Regions from separate parts of the Mus musculus genome. Here all the other regions are reported to be linked to region 2. The links are microRNA targets in miRTarBase. Many come from high-throughput screens and were not tested one by one. Region 2 holds a microRNA gene; each other region holds the end of a gene's coding sequence.
Evidence for each region. Region 2 holds the annotated microRNA mmu-miR-706 (AGAGAAACCCUGUCUCAAAAAA, at 2,155-2,176, opposite strand). A microRNA usually pairs through its seed, bases 2 to 8, with sites in the 3' UTR of a target mRNA and lowers its output. Matches are read on the target gene's strand: a 7mer-m8 pairs with bases 2 to 8, a 7mer-A1 pairs with bases 2 to 7 and ends in A, and an 8mer does both.

Region 1: the mRNA of Mcm5 is a reported target of mmu-miR-706. Seed matches in the 3' UTR shown: 7mer-m8 at 1,573-1,579.
Region 3: miRTarBase lists Decr2 as a target of mmu-miR-706. Seed matches in the 3' UTR shown: 7mer-m8 at 3,468-3,474.

The regions. Positions count from the first base shown.
Region 1 is chr8:75,126,752-75,131,751 of GRCm38, forward strand. Mcm5 (minichromosome maintenance complex component 5) reads left to right here. Exons shown (of 17, transcript NM_008566.3): 17 at 472-1,688. The coding sequence ends at 573. Among named protein-coding and RNA genes, the nearest start is that of Mcm5, 20 kb to the left of the region's middle.
Region 2 is chr6:120,032,136-120,037,311 of GRCm38, forward strand. Mir706 (microRNA 706) reads right to left here and starts at 2,176; the gene lies at 2,093-2,176. It overlaps Wnk1 (WNK lysine deficient protein kinase 1), which reads right to left. Exons shown (of 28, transcript NM_001199084.1): 1 at 4,739-5,176.
Region 3 is chr17:26,078,285-26,083,284 of GRCm38, forward strand. Decr2 (2-4-dienoyl-Coenzyme A reductase 2, peroxisomal) reads right to left here. Exons shown (of 9, transcript NM_011933.2): 8 at 4,592-4,809; 9 at 2,927-3,977. The coding sequence ends at 4,592. Among named protein-coding and RNA genes, the nearest start is that of Decr2, 9.4 kb to the right of the region's middle.

The sequences.
Region 1 (5,000 bases), not on the chromosome of region 2:
CTGTGCCCTTTAAAATCATGAGGATAGCCCTGGTTTCTGTTTCTCGTTCCCTTCCCTGTGTATCCTCTCCGTTTGCTCCTGGAAGTAAATTATACAGTAACAGATACTGGCCCTCTATAAGTGAAGAGACTAGTCTTGCCTGAGGCTGGGGCTGGAGAAAGCTTGACTTCTAGGGTCACAGGGACTTAAGTCCTAGCTCACTTAATTGCTATATGACCCAAACAAGTGACAGCCTGTGCCTATTTCTTCCTCTGTAAAATGAGATTATTCCTAATACTAGGTGCATAAAGTCGATATATGTACTTACCTAGTACACAAGAGGCATCATCACATACACACTTTTCTGAAGTCAAGGGAGAATGGAGGTGGATATTTTTTGTCTGTTTAAAATTGTCTATGATCCGGTGATGCATCAGGTCCCTTGGGTCATAATGATATACCTGTGCATCTGTCTTGTGCTCCCTCCTACAGAAATATCCAGAGCACGCTATCCGAAAGGTGCTGCAGCTCATGCTACGCAGGGGTGAGATCCAACACCGTATGCAGCGCAAGGTGCTCTATCGCCTCAAGTGAGCCCATTGCCCATCAACCCTCAAGCCTGAAATGCTGCCACCACCCTATCTCCCAGTCAGTGCTCCAAACCTCCTTTTGCCCTGCCTCTCCACCTCAGACTGCAGTCTGCAGCACATCTGCAGCCCCTGGAAATGTACTTTGGTCTGTTGGCCTCATACTGTGTTTGAGTGTCTGAGGACTCTCTGCTCTGGGTGTCTATCCCCTGTCATGCCTTCTCAACAAGATGAGTCTGGAGCAGGAACAGGCCCTGGAATGTAGATGGGTCTGTATATTGGCTCCCGGGCCACTCACTGCCAAGCTTCTTTGTATGTACAGAGGTAATAAAGCAATTGAGTCCCTGGCTGCTAAGGTCAGTGGACCCAGTATGATAGTAGTGCTGTGTGAATACAAGGTTGACTCTTTCAGCTTTCTTCAGCAGCACCTAATGTGAGAACTGGATCATTCATTGAGTTGTCTGCCTCAGTTTCCTAATCTGCAAACAAATTTGATGAAGCTGAGCTCAGTGAGTGAGTGGCTGTCAGTGAAAACCCAAGTAGACTCCAATGTAGAATGTCTCCAGGGCTTTATTTATAGCAAGTGGGCCTCAGTGGTGTCTGGGGAAGGAACCAGACGTCAGGGTTTATCAGTTAAGGAGCTATGAGTACCTGAGCAAGCTTCAGCACAGTAGGAGGTATTAGTGACAACATTGTTAAAAGAAGACACCCAACACCTCGTATTACCAAAATGCCGAAAATTATGATTTTAGAAATCTATAATTTATAAAATTAAGGAAAAGTCAGTGAAATATTTAAGTATTTGTTATGTAAAGTACATTTATAAATGGGAAGCTAGTGCTGAAAACACTGCAGTCACCAACAGTAAAGTTACTGTAGGAGGAAGGCTTGAGAGAACAGGAAGTACATACACAGGCCTTTCTCGTAGATGGCGTCCTGTGCTGAAATGGCTGTTGCTTGAGGTGTTTGCTTTTTTTTTTTTTTTTTTTTAGTTTTTTGAGACAGGGTTTCTCTGTGTAGCCCTGGCTGCCTGGAACTCACTTTGTAGACCAGGCTGGCCTCGAACTCAGAAATCCGCCTGCCTCTGCCTTCTGAGTACTGGGATTAAAAGTGTGGGCCACCACGCCTGGCTGAAGTGTTTGCTTCTTACTCCCTCCTGGAAATGTGCTTGCTCCTGACGAATGGCCATAGCCATTTCTTTTTGATTGGTCTGCAAACTTGGAACAGAGTGTGCTTGTCTGGAAGGGCAGGCTTGGTAAGAACATTTCATCCTACTTGAGGCCTTGAGGATGCATGGACATGCGGGCCTGCAGGAGTGCTTAGTTGAGTGGAAGATGCCGATATGATACCTCTTTCTTGGTAGGCCCTGGCTGGCAGGCACAGTGTTAAGGGAGACAAGCTTGGCTTGCAGGGAAGTGGGCAGTGCTCGGTGTGCCACAGCACGAGGAAAAATGCCCAGGAAAATATCCAGGAATTAAGGATTGGTTGGTTTCTGAATCTGAACTGGATCCTAACCTTTAATTCTACGAGACACTGGCCTGAGCTGCTGGGGCTAAGTTACTGTAGCCCTGCAAGTATGGCCAAGATGGTCTTAGGACACACTTTCCCCTCTTTTCCTCACCTTCCCATGAGTGTCTCAGATAAGTAGGATTTGAAGCAGTGCTCTGAGGACTCAGCCCTGCTGCTTGCTCTGCTTTCATTGCTTCCCCAGACAGCAACTTGATTTTCACTTTTTTTTTTGCCTTGGCATGCTTGGGCGTCCTGGTGATTCCTGGTCTGGTCCCTTGCCCAAGGTATAGATAGACATTTCACATCCCCTGGTTGGTCTTTCAGCTTAAATATTATTTGTCCTTAGACATATATTCGTGTCACGCAGTGACAGGATTGGTACGGGCCCAAATGGGCTGCAATGGCCTGTTATGTTAGCACCTGAGCTCTGCTGCATCTACCATCACATATTGTCTGACCCAGACTGCACGTGGGAGAGGATTCTACTGAAATGCATGAGGTGTGGAGGATTTCTGGCAAAATTCTAAGCAACTGTTAATGACAAGCTGTTGGGAATCATACACACTGTCACCTTAGCCACCATAGAAGTCATACGTACAGTGAAGATTACAGGCCAGACATGGAAGTTAGCATCCCTGTAACTCCCATATTTAGGAGATGGAAGCAGGAGGATCAGGAGTTCAAGGTTGTCCTCAGTTTCAAAGTGTTCAAGGCTACAACCTGGGCTATAAGAGATTGGTCCTGTTTCAAAAACAATCTACATAAAAATGTGTTAGTGAAAATACTATTTTAGAGGAACATTTACAAGTACCAGAATAAGGCCAATTCTCTTTTTTTGCGGGTGTGTGTGTGTGTGTGTGTGTGTGTGTGTGTGTGTTTCGAGACAGGGTTTTCGTATAGCCCCGGCTGTCCTGGAACTCACTCTGTAGACCAGGCTGGCCTCGAACTCAGAAATCTCCCTGCCTCTGCCTCCCGAGTGCTGGGATTAAAGGCATGCGCCACCACCGCCCAGCCCAATTCTCTTATTTTTAAACTATTTTTTATTTTTATCTTATGCATCTTGGTGTTTTGCCTGCATGTATGTCTGTATGAAGGTGTTAGATCTTTGATTTGCAGGTGTTTGTGAACTCTATGGGTGCTGAGAATTGAACCTGGGTCCCCAGGAAGAGAAGCCAGTGCTTTTAGATGCGGAGCCATCTACCCCATCCCAAAGAAACAACAAAAACAAGGAATTTCAGAAATGCAAAAGATGAGTTTTCTCAGACTGTTGAGGTGGAAGTGGCAGAAGATGCACACTTCACAGGGTAACTTTGTGGTTTTAGATGTAAGTTTTTCACTTCTATTAAGTATGTTATGGTTTTAGATGTAAATCTTTCATATTGTGCGTGGGTGTGTATGTGTTGGTCTTAAATAGCATGCCACATGGGTGGAGCTTAGGAGGCAACTGCATAGAGTCTGTTCTCTCCTTGCATGTTTACATGGGCTCTTGGGAAAACTCAGGTCATCCGATGTGTGTGACAAGCACCTTTACCTGCTGAGGCATACAGATCCGTGTGCTTAAACATGAACACTGGTAGGTTGGTATTTATGAGCCAAGGGTTGCAGCTCAGTGGTTGACTGCTTTCCTGGCATGTGTGAGGCCAGGTTTTCAATCCTGGCACCACAGGAACATGGTATGGTTCAAAGGGTAGTTTTCAGTTAAATCAGTGAGGGTTTTTTCTTCTACTTGAAAGATGAGGCGGTAAGGTAAAGTTCTGGTGTAAGTACATGGGCCCAAACCCAACTGGCCTGGGTTCAGATTGTAACTCAGCTACTTACTGTACCTATCCCAGCCTTAATTTCCTATTAAGAAATAGGGGTGCTGGGTTTGGTGGTGCACGCCTTAAACACCAGCTCTAGGGAGGCAGGCAGGTGGATCTCTTAGGTTTAAGTCTAGCCTGATCTATAGAGCAAGTTCCAGGATGAGAGCTCACAGAAACCCTGTCTTGAATAAAAAGAAAAGCGGGGGGGGGGGGGGAGAAAAAGATGTGAGCACCGATTTAAGGATGAGGCAGGCTCTTCTAGGGACTGAGCTGCCTTGACAGCAAATTTTGGAATTATTAGGAAACTAAGTTCCAAGCAATAGATAGGCAGTTTAGGGTCCTTTCCATTGTTTCCCCTTTCTCAAAGTTCAGGCTGAGGTTAAGAGAATGGCCATGAGGATGGGTTGGTACTAGCACCTTACCCACAGTCCAGCAAAGGGTGCTGTGGATGGTGTGGAATAGATTAAGGTAGACAATTGCATCCATGGTTTGCCAGATCAGTTGCTCGCTCGCTCTCTCTCTCTCTCTCTCTCTCTCTCTCTCTCTCTCTCTCTCTCTCTCTCTCTCTCTCTGTGTGTGTGTGTGTATGTGTGTGTGTATGTGTTAAAGTGAAAGGATACCAATCAGGCTAGATTAGGGCCCACTTTAACAAACCCACAGGTCTCTACGTTTAATAGGATTAAAGACAAGTGCTACCATACCTGTTCCATAACTACCTAACAACTTTGTACTCAGGTCTGAGGCGCTGGTGTCTAGGGCTTTTTTAACATGATAGGTGGTGGGGGAACAGGCTTCTTTCTAGGACAGGAGGAGTGGGGTGGGGCTGGGGTGTAAGCCCCTGTTGCCCACAGAGTGGAAAGTTCCTAGCCTTAATCTTTCATCAGACACATTGAAGAGAAAAAGGCATTATATGGGGAGCAAAGTGGCTCAGGAGTCAAGAACTTCTGGCCACCTTGAACCAAGTTTCTACTTGTGTAGGGACAGGATTTGGGGAAGGGTTTGGGAAAGAATTTCATGGAGGGTCCAGGGCTGCTTTCTGATGCCCTCCTCTGCCAAAATGTTTTCAGCACCTTATGAATGAGTGGTGAATTCTGCACTCACTGTGTGCCAAGTAGTACACTAG
Region 2 (5,176 bases):
CACGCATTCATCCTCCAAAGTCTAGATCCCCATATGAAGTGATAAAAATTAAATTTGTCATTTATTAGAGAACTTTAGAAATCCTGACAGCCACTTCTACACAGAATTAGTATAACTTCATTTGAAATTAGTATTACTAATTAGCTATCTACTGAGACTACAAATGTAGTTTGGGGTTTTGTTTTTGTTTTTGTTTTATTTGATCAGTTGTTTTTAGGTTTCTCTGTGTAGTCTTGGATTTTCTGGAAACTCACTATGTAGACCAGGCTGGCTTCAAATTCAAAAGATCAGCCTGTGACTGCCTCCCAAGTGCTGGAACTAAAGGCATGTACCACGACAGCCTGGCCTTTCTAAAAAACAAAAATTTAAATTCTTCTTGATTCTTCAGAGTGTTAACATGTATACACAAATATATCCACCACCATTTCTCCCCTCCAAGTCCTTTTATATGCCCCCAACACATACTCCTCAACTCTTTGACTCTTTAAAAATAGCCTACTAAATCCAATTTGTTGTTGCATGGATTTGTGACTGCCCATGAGAAACCTACCAGTTGGGAACAACATGATAAAAGATAATGATTCTCCCTCTCAGAGAAGCTACAACTGCCAAAGACTCCTTAAGATGGGATAGGCCCTGAAGAGCATATCTATGCCAGAAATTTGGCTGGCAAGTTTTATTTTAGTAACCACAGTTGTTTCCTTTACCTTTTCTGGACTGAACCCAGAACTTTGTAGCTATTAAACAAATATTCTAACACTGCACTAAAGTACTCTACCATTGAACTGTATCCCCAGCTCTCTTCTCTTTCTGACTCTAGTTTTGAGTTAAGGTCTCATTTTGTTGTTCAGGCTGACCTAAAATTTACTCTGTAGCCTAGACAGGCCTTGAACCTGTGATCTTACTGTTTCAGCCTCATTGAATAACTAAAATTATAGGCCTCTGCTACCAGGTCTAATTTGTAATTGCCTTCAATACCTTCCAAATTGCTATATCATAACTATTTTAATGTTTGTAATTTCTTAACCAAAGCTAAATTACTTAATGCCCTATGATTTCAGGTCCTTATTTAACAAACAAGTAGGTGGGAGAGATAGCCTGATTTTATCCAATTTTGCATCTATTTATGTAGGTACACATGTGCCACAGCAAGAGTGCAGGGGTCAGAAAACAACTTTCACAAGTTGGCTCTCTCCTTCCACAATGTGGGTGCTATATTGAACATCAGGCTTAGTGGCAGGGGTCCTTACCTAATGAGCTATTATTTCCCAAAACCCTTCTAGTTTTAATACACTAAAAATTTTAAAGCTAAGCATGGTAGTACATGCTTAAAATCACACTGCTAGGGAGATAATGTCAAAGGGGTACTTTTTTTCCTTTTCTTTTCAAAGCTTTACTTATCCTTAGGTTTGACCTTTAATTTGAACCCAAATATTTTGATCTAAAACAAAATGATATGGGCTGGAATGATATGGCTCAGCAGTTAAGAACACTGACAGCTCTTTCCAGAAGTCCTGAGTTCAATTCCCAACAACCACATGGTGGCTCACAACCATCTGTAATGGGATCTGATGCCCTCTTCTGGTGTGTCTGAAGACAGAAACAGTGCACTCATACACATAAAATAAATAAGTCTTTAAAAATAAATAAATAAAAATAAAAAGTAAAAGCACACATTTATAAAAAGCCACATGGTGGCTCACAACCATCTGTAATGAAATCTGACACCCTCTTCTGGAGTGTCTGAAGACAGCAACAGTGTACTTATATATAATAAATAAATAAATCTTAAATAAATAGATAATTAAATAAAACAAATGTAATTGAAGAATTGAATTCCTGGATCAGTAATAGATCCTTGGTACAAAAATTCCTATAAATCAGTTTCATCTAAATTATTGAGTATGACTGCCCAGTAGGAGGAGAGGCATATTTTGACAAGTTTACCAAACAAACAAACAAACAAACAATGAAGGTAAGTTTGTCTGGCATGGTCCTGTAATACCAATACTCCAAAAGCTACAGCAGAAGAATCATGGATTCAAGGCCAGCTTGGAGTACACAATGAGTCTTCACAATATAGGGTAAGGGAAAAAAAAAGCCATCTCAAAAAACAAAATAAACCTACTAAAAGTAATTTTGTTTGTTTTTTTGTTTTTTGAGACAGGGTTTCTCTGTATAGCCCTGGCTGTCCTGGAACTCACTCTGTAGACCAGGCTGGCCTAGAACTCAGAAATCCACCTGCCTCTGCTTCCCAAGTGCTGGGATTAAAGGCGTGTGCCACCACACCCGGCTAAAAGTAATTTTTAAAAAATACCTGTCACGGCCAGGCAGTGGTGGCACACGCCTTTAATTCCAGCACTTGGGAGGCAGAGGCAGGCGGATTTCTGAGTTCGAGGCCAGCCTGGTCTACAGAGTGAGTTCCAGGACAGCCAGGCTATACAGAGAAACCCTGTTTTGAAAAAAACCAAAATATTAAATAAATAAATAAATAAATAAATAAATATTTGTCACATTTCCAACTCTTATCAGTTATAAAATTAACAAGGGGTAATTTTTTTTTTGGTTATTTTACTTCATTAATGTGCTTAGAAGTTCCATTTTAAGTGTTGAACTCAAGGAATTATGTTCAAGAACTTGCCAGTTTCATGTTTGCTTCCACATGCTGAGTTAACGTTCTTTCACATTTTTAAAATAAAAACAAAACGAACACTCATTTCCAATGGTGAAAATAAATTTCAAGCATATAGAGAAGTGGAAGAGAAAGCTTAATCGACTATCTTTAAGTGAACAATCATATGCTGATAATTGTTGAAGCTGGGTAATTGCTCACCTTCACTAGATATTTAGAAGCAAACTCCATTTTTTTTTTTTTCTGAGACAGGGTTTCTCTGTATAATCCTGGCTGTCCTAGAACTCACTTTGTAGACCAGGCTGGCCTCCAACTCAGAAATCCGCCTGCCTCTGCCTCCCGAGTGTCGGGATTAAAGGCATGCACCACCACATAGAAGCAAATTCCAAACATTATTCCTTTCACATTTCAAATGACCTTGGGACATTTGGAAACCAAGCTGTTTATTAATTCTTGGGTAAATCAAGTTCTGAGATTATTTCAGTTACTTTCCAATCCTATTTCAGTTTGGTCCATTTTCTTGACAAGAAATCAGTAGTGGCACTTTCATCTATGATGTAGCTGAAATTCTGCTTCCACCACAAATACATGCTCATTTCTGGATGTGAACAAGTGCTAACAAACCAATATTTATATAGATGCTTTATAATAACATTTATTTATCGCTATAATATATATTATATTATATTATATTATATTATATTATTTATATAAATATAAATTTATATAATAAATATAATAACATTTATTTATTGCTATAATTCAAGCAATTAGTAGTCCAAACTAATCTAGCATATACCTGCACTTTATTTATAACCTGAAAATTTCCCTGAGATTAAAAAAAAAAAGGAAGGAAGGAAGAAAGCACTGTAATCCCTCGGACTCTTGGGAAGTTTCATTTAAAAATCTTTTATATCCCTGGCATAGTGGCATTAACTTATAATTCTAATACTCTGGAGGCTGAGGCAGAGGGATCAACAAATTCAGGACAGTCTGGGCTATACTTTGGGACACTCACAAAAAGTCTTTTATAAGATATTACAACAATGATGGTATTATCACAACTTTCAAAGCACTTATACAATTTTGCATGGACTTTTACTATTCACTATGGACTGAATAGGATGAAGACAGACTAATGAACAGTGTCAGATCACAGCTAGCCATAAGGCTTAAGCACCTGTAGGTGGTTATATTGGTAGGTATATACTGTACCTTCCTACTCTGAAAGCACTTAAAGGGAAAGAGAGTTGGGAATCAGGGACTGGGTGGTTGTTTTGATGGTGGTGCAAGACTTTAATCCCAGCACTTGGGAGGCAGAGGCAGGTGAATTTCTGAGTTCGAGGCCAGCCTGGTCTACAGAATGAGTTCCAGGACAGCCAGGGCTATACAAAATCCTGTCTCGAAAAAACCAAAACAAAACAAAACAAAAAAGACAGTGTCTCACTACCCAGGCCAGACTGGCCTTGAACTTGAGGCTCTCCTGCCTCGACCAATAGAGTAAGTAGTTGGGATTTCCAGGCATGCCTTTATTAGCTACTATGCTATGATATTCTGCTATCAAGAAAGTTGTTCCTTAAAAGTACAGGGTCTTGTCTAACAATCAGATTTTAGAGATGGAAACACACAAGGCAGTTCATTATTGCAGAGGCTTAGAAGAGAATGAAGTGTACAGGAAAAAAAGGTTTGATATTTACTTAAAGCAAAAGAAAAAAAAAAAATTCCCAAAGGCTGAGGATATATTTAGCTCAGTGGGAAAGCACTTGTCCAGGCCCCACTTCTTCGATCCCCAACACGAAGGGAAACCCTTTTCCAATAATTCCATGTCTCCTGCCTGACATTAAACACACAAGTTTGTACTTAAATGACTCTTTTTACCCCTGGCTGATAACAATCCTTCTTGACACCAATAGTTCCTATCTTTTCCAAACACCTAACTAACTACAAGCTCCACAATCTCCCAATTTCAACCTCTTTGGACACTAGTCTTCCCGCCCTCTCAGAGTCAGAGAATTACAAGTAAAGAGTGAACTCGACAAACTGGCTTAACAGAGCCAAATTTGGGATCCAAACGACCGAATAAGAAAAAAGGGGGTGGGGCATTACCTGCAATTCACACCAGGCGACTTCCACAGTGGTTTCGGTGTCCAGACCTTTGTAGACTGTCTTAAAGGAGCCTCTGCCGATTTCGATGTCAAATTTGAGAAAGCGACCGTCATTGGACATTCCCACTGCCTTGGTCTCCAGCTCTTCGATATCATCCTGTTGCTGGCTCCTATCCTCCTGCGCCTCTTTGGCGCTGGCGCCACCACTGCCACTTCCACTTCTGGACGGCGGTGGCTCCTCTTTGCTCCCCACGAGGCTGGGCTGGGACACCGGGCGGTCTTTGCTGGTACTGCTGGGGACGGTCGTGGTGGCCGAGCCTACAACGGCTTGTTCCCCAGGGGAGGCAGCAGCCGAGGGTTGCTGAGACACCTGGGAAGCAACGGTGGCGGTCAAAGTTTCCTCTCTGTGAGGTTCGGGTGGAGCACTCTGGGGCACCAC
Region 3 (5,000 bases), not on the chromosome of region 2:
AAAGCCAAAAAAAAAAAAAAAAAAAAAAATCTGGTTGCTCTTGCAGATGACCTGGGTTCAATTCCTAGCCCTCACATGGCAGCTCACTGTAACTCCAATCCCAAGGGATCCAATGCTCTCTTCTGGACTCTGCAGGCACTGCATACCTGTGGTGCATAAACATATTCAGGCAACATTTTTTTAGACATGTAAATAAAAACTCAAAAAAAAAAATGTTGACGTGAAGAGGTCTTCTTCAGGGGCCGCTGAGATGGTTCAGTGCATAGAGATTGCCAGCCTCACAACCAGAGTTTGCTTCCCAAAACCCATGGGAAGGAAGAAGAGAAGTGACAACACACAGCTGTCCTCTGACCTCTGCACATACATGTGCTCCCCTTCCCATGTTCTGTACACACACAGTAATATGGGCCAGCAAGATGGCTCAGCAGGTAAAGACCACCAAACCTGTCACCGGAATTCAACCCCCAGCATCTACTTGGTAGAAGGAGAAAACCAAGTCTCTAATGTTATCCTCGGATCTCCACATGAGCATCGTAACACATCCTGCCCACACATATGCATGCAAATAAATAACAAATGTTTAAAAGCAAAAACAAACAAACAAATACAACAGACAGGTACCTTCAACCTGTTTCCTATGTCTCCATGAGGTGGCCCCGCCCTGGCAAACAGAGAGGAAGACCCAGTGCTTGGGAAAATCCTCCAGGGAGACAAGTGGATTTTGGTGCCAGATCTTGTAGTACATGCAAGCCACAGCTGGGCTGCTCCAAGTTACCAAGGCAACAGAAATCAGTGGAAAGGAACCCCCTCCAAATGAGCAGTGTTTATTTTGGGCAATTTTAAGGTTTTTGTGTTCTGGATAGACAAAGATAAACATACCCAGACCTTCATTTGTAACCTATGGAAAACACTGACATGCTAGAAATCACCTGTATGGCTCAAACCAAGGCACGGGTGAGTACATGCAGTTTTGTTTGTTCGTTCATTAAACACATACAACCCAAGACACTTTGTTCTTTTTGTGGTAGGGGAGGATGTGTGGGTTTTTTGAGACAGAGTTTCTCTGTGTAACAGTACTGGCTGTATGACTTAAGATTTCCATTGCTAACAAGAGACACCATGACCAAGGCAATTCTTTTTTTTTTTCTTTTTTGGTTTTTCAAGACAGGGTTTCTCTGTGCAGCCCTGGCTGACCCGGAACTCACTTTGTAGACCAGGTTGGCCTCAAACTCAGAAATCCGCCTGCCTCTGCCTCCCGAGTGCTGGGAATAAAGGAGCGCCACCACGCCCGGCTGGACCAAGGCAATTCTTATAAGGGACAGCATTTAATTGGGGCTGGCTTACAGGTTCAGAGGTTTAGTGCACTATATTGGCAGGATGCATGGCAGTGTGCAGGCAAACATGGTGCTAGAGAAAGAGTCAAGGGTTGTACATCTTAGCTGGGCAAGGTGGCGCACGCCTTTACTCCCAGCACTCAGGAGGCAGAGGCAGGCTGATTTCTGAGTTTGAGGCCATCCTGGTCTACAAAGTGAGTTCCAGGACAGCCAGGGCTATACAGAGAAACCCTGTCTCCAAAAACAAAAACAAACAAACAAACAAACAAAAAGAGTTGTACATCTTGATCCAAAGGCAGTCAGGAGAAGACTGACTTCCAGGCAGCTAGGAGGAGGGTCTCAAAGCCCACCCTCACAGTGACACATGTGGTTGCCGGGAATTGAACTCCGGACTTCTGGAAGAGTAGTCAGTGCTCTTAACCACTGAGCCATTTCTACAGCCCCACTTTGTTATTTTAAGACAGGTTTTTGGCATGGCTGATAGTCACTCTGTAGCCAAGCTAGCCTTGAATTTGTGGCAGTTATGCTAGGATTACAAGTGTATACCACTAAGCCTGGGTTTTGCTGTTGCTGAGGGGGTTTGGTTTGGGTTGGGTTTGAGGGGTGTGTTATTTGTTGTTTGGTTGCTTGCTTGGTTTCTAAGGCTGGGTCTCACCGTGCAGTCTAAACCACCCTTAATCTTAATCTTCCTATTTTAGTCTCCCAAGTGCTGGGATTACAAGCCTGTGCCATCATAATGAACTAATGCCTTTTAAAATCTGCATCTTGGGGGGGGGGGGCGGGGCTGGAGAAATGGCTTAGTGATTAGAGCTATATACTCCTTTTGAAGAGGAATGGATTTCAATTTTCATGAGACTCAAATCAGATTATAACTCCAGCTGCAGGGGGATCTCAAAGATGCCTTCTTCTGGACTCTGGGGGTATCTACACTAACACATTAAGGTTAGCCAGGCGGTGGTGGCGCATGCCTTTAATCCCAGCACTTGCTAGACAAGGCTGGCCACCAAATGCTCTGACACACCAGCATGGTGGCCACATGCTGGAGCCGGCAGGCAACCCCCACGGATGGGGCAGTGGGGCTGCTTGTACCTTACACATTGAGTGAGTGCTGAAATTGTGTCCTTCTTGAGCTGGCTCAACAGCTAAGAGCTTGATACTGTGTCTGCCAAAGGGGCCCGGAACAGCAGAACATGCTCAGGATTTGTAGTAGAGCGGGGAGTTCAAAGACAGGTGACTATAGGGCTGAAAGGTTTCAGGGAGGGGGAGATGCTCCCTCCCACCAGGGTGGCCACAGTGCCACACCTCCCTCTGATCTGGAGACCATTGGTAAGAAGTCAGGAAGCTGTGCTGCTAGGGTTGGGGGGCAGGATAATGGGGAGGAGGGCACTGGGCTCTGTTGGTGGAAGGAGGGCATGAGGGGGGAGGACTTCACTCAGTTGGTGGGAGGAGGGCATGAGGGAGAAGGACTTTGATCAGTTGGTGGGAGGAGTGCATGAGGGGGGAAGGACTGGGCTCGGTAGGTGGGAGGAAGGCATGAGAAGCAACCAAGCTAAAGAGATATGGAAAAAAGACAGGAAACACAAGCACTATTTCCATGGTAGAATCAGTCAATTTTTTTTCTGTCTAGAAACGTTTTTATTAAAGATTTCTTTATTTATTTTATGTATATGAGTACACTGTAGCTGTACAGATGGTTGTGAGCCTTCATGTGGTTGTTGGGAATTGAATTTTTAGGACCTCTGCTCGCTCTGGTCTGCTCTGCTCGCTCAATCCTGCTAGCTCTGGCCCAAAGATTTATTTATTATTATACATGAGTTCACTGTAGCTGACTTCAGATGCACCAGATCTTATCACAGATGGTTGTGAGCCACCATGTGGTTGCTGGGATTTGAACTCAGGACTTTCAGAAGAGCAGTCAGTGCTCTTACCTGCTGAACCATTTTGCCAGCCCTCTAGAAACTTTTACAAATTCCAACTCATAGCTATTTTTATAGTAGAAAAAACAAAAAACAAAAAAAAAAAAACCCGGGCAGTGGTGGCGAATGCCTTTAATCCCAGCACTTGGGAGGCAGAGGCAGGCAGATTTCGAGGCCAGCCTGGTCTACAGAGTTCCAGGACAGCCAGGGCTATGCAGAGAAACCCTGTCTCAAAAAAAAAAATTTTTTTTTACAAGAAAATGCATTTTTTTTCTGGTAAAACCATAGGAATTCCTCAGATACTGTAAGCAAGTTTCAGCTATGCATGATCGGGTTATTCCTACTCAAGATGTGGGCGGAGGAGAGGCAGAGCTTGCAAAGAGCTTGATCCCAGAGGCAGGGGAGTGGGCTCGGATTTCCAAGTCAGACTCAACACTTCCTGTGTGACTATAGACCTATGCAAGGCAGGAGGCATTCCCCATGAAGAACACTGCCTCCTCAAAACAACTATCTTGAGTACGAAGTTTATGTGTCAGAAGATCCCCGGGGGAGGACGTACAGATCAGTTGATTCTGCTGGTTGAACCTGCTGGAAGCCTTGGGTGTGATCTTCAAACACTGCAAAAATTGGCAGGGTGGCTCTTTTGTAAAATCATCTTCAGCTACATAGTGTACATGAGATCCTATCTTCAAAGAAGAAGAAGGTGGATATCCACGGGAGGACTCCCCTGGGGGACGGGAGGACGGGAGGGAGAGGAAGCTTCAGTCATGATGTAAAGAAAATTGATTAATTCATTAATTAATAGAAAAGTAATCATTAATCATCACTGAATAAACGTTGACCTGAGATGAAGTTATAAGGAGAAAGAAGAAGAACGTGGAGGAGGAGGAAGAAAGAGAGAAAAGGAAAGGAAAGGAAAGGAAAGGAAAGGAAAGGAAAGGAAAGGAAAGGAAAGGAAAGGAAAGGAAAGGAAAGAAAAGAAAAGAAAAGAAAAGAAAAGAAAAGAAAAGAAAAGAAAAGAAAAGAAAAAGTTATATCCTAGCATGTACTCCTGTACTCTCACACTCCAGAGGCTAAGATAGGAAAATTGCAAATTTAAGGCTGTATTTCTCCAATAGAGACGAGGATAAGGTCTGGGAAAACCCAGTGTCATAGAGCCCACTTCCTTCACATTCTTGGAGACCATGTCTTGCCCACCTGGCCCAGGGCCCCTCTGTGCCAGGACAGGGGCAGGGATGCTCCTATGAAAACATGACTAGTAGTTTATAGCTGCACTTAGTAGAATAAAAGATGAGGCATCCAAGGACATGGGGATCCCGAGAAGTGGGAACAACACCTTACCTACAGCTTAGCAGAGAAGGATTCAAACTCTAGCAGTTGCTTGATGCCATTGGGGAATGTCATCCAGCTTCCACCATCAACCACCAGCACGATACCTGAGACATAGGAAGCCAGAGGGCTGGCCAGGTACAGCACGCTGTGAGCGATCTCTGTCTTGGTCCCAAGTCTTGGAATAGGATTTGAAAAATGCTTTAATTTCGAACTGGCATTGGAGCCTCCTGGAAAGCAATAGGAAGTCAGATCCCAGTAAGCCTCTATGCCACAGTGTCTGCTGCTCTCTCCAGCTAGCTCTCTCCCTGACCCAGATCTGGAAACAGTGGTTGCTCTATCAAGGCCAACAGCAGACTGACACTGAACCCACATGATGGACATTGGAGACCCTCACAGTAGGCCAAGTTCAACAGGGTAG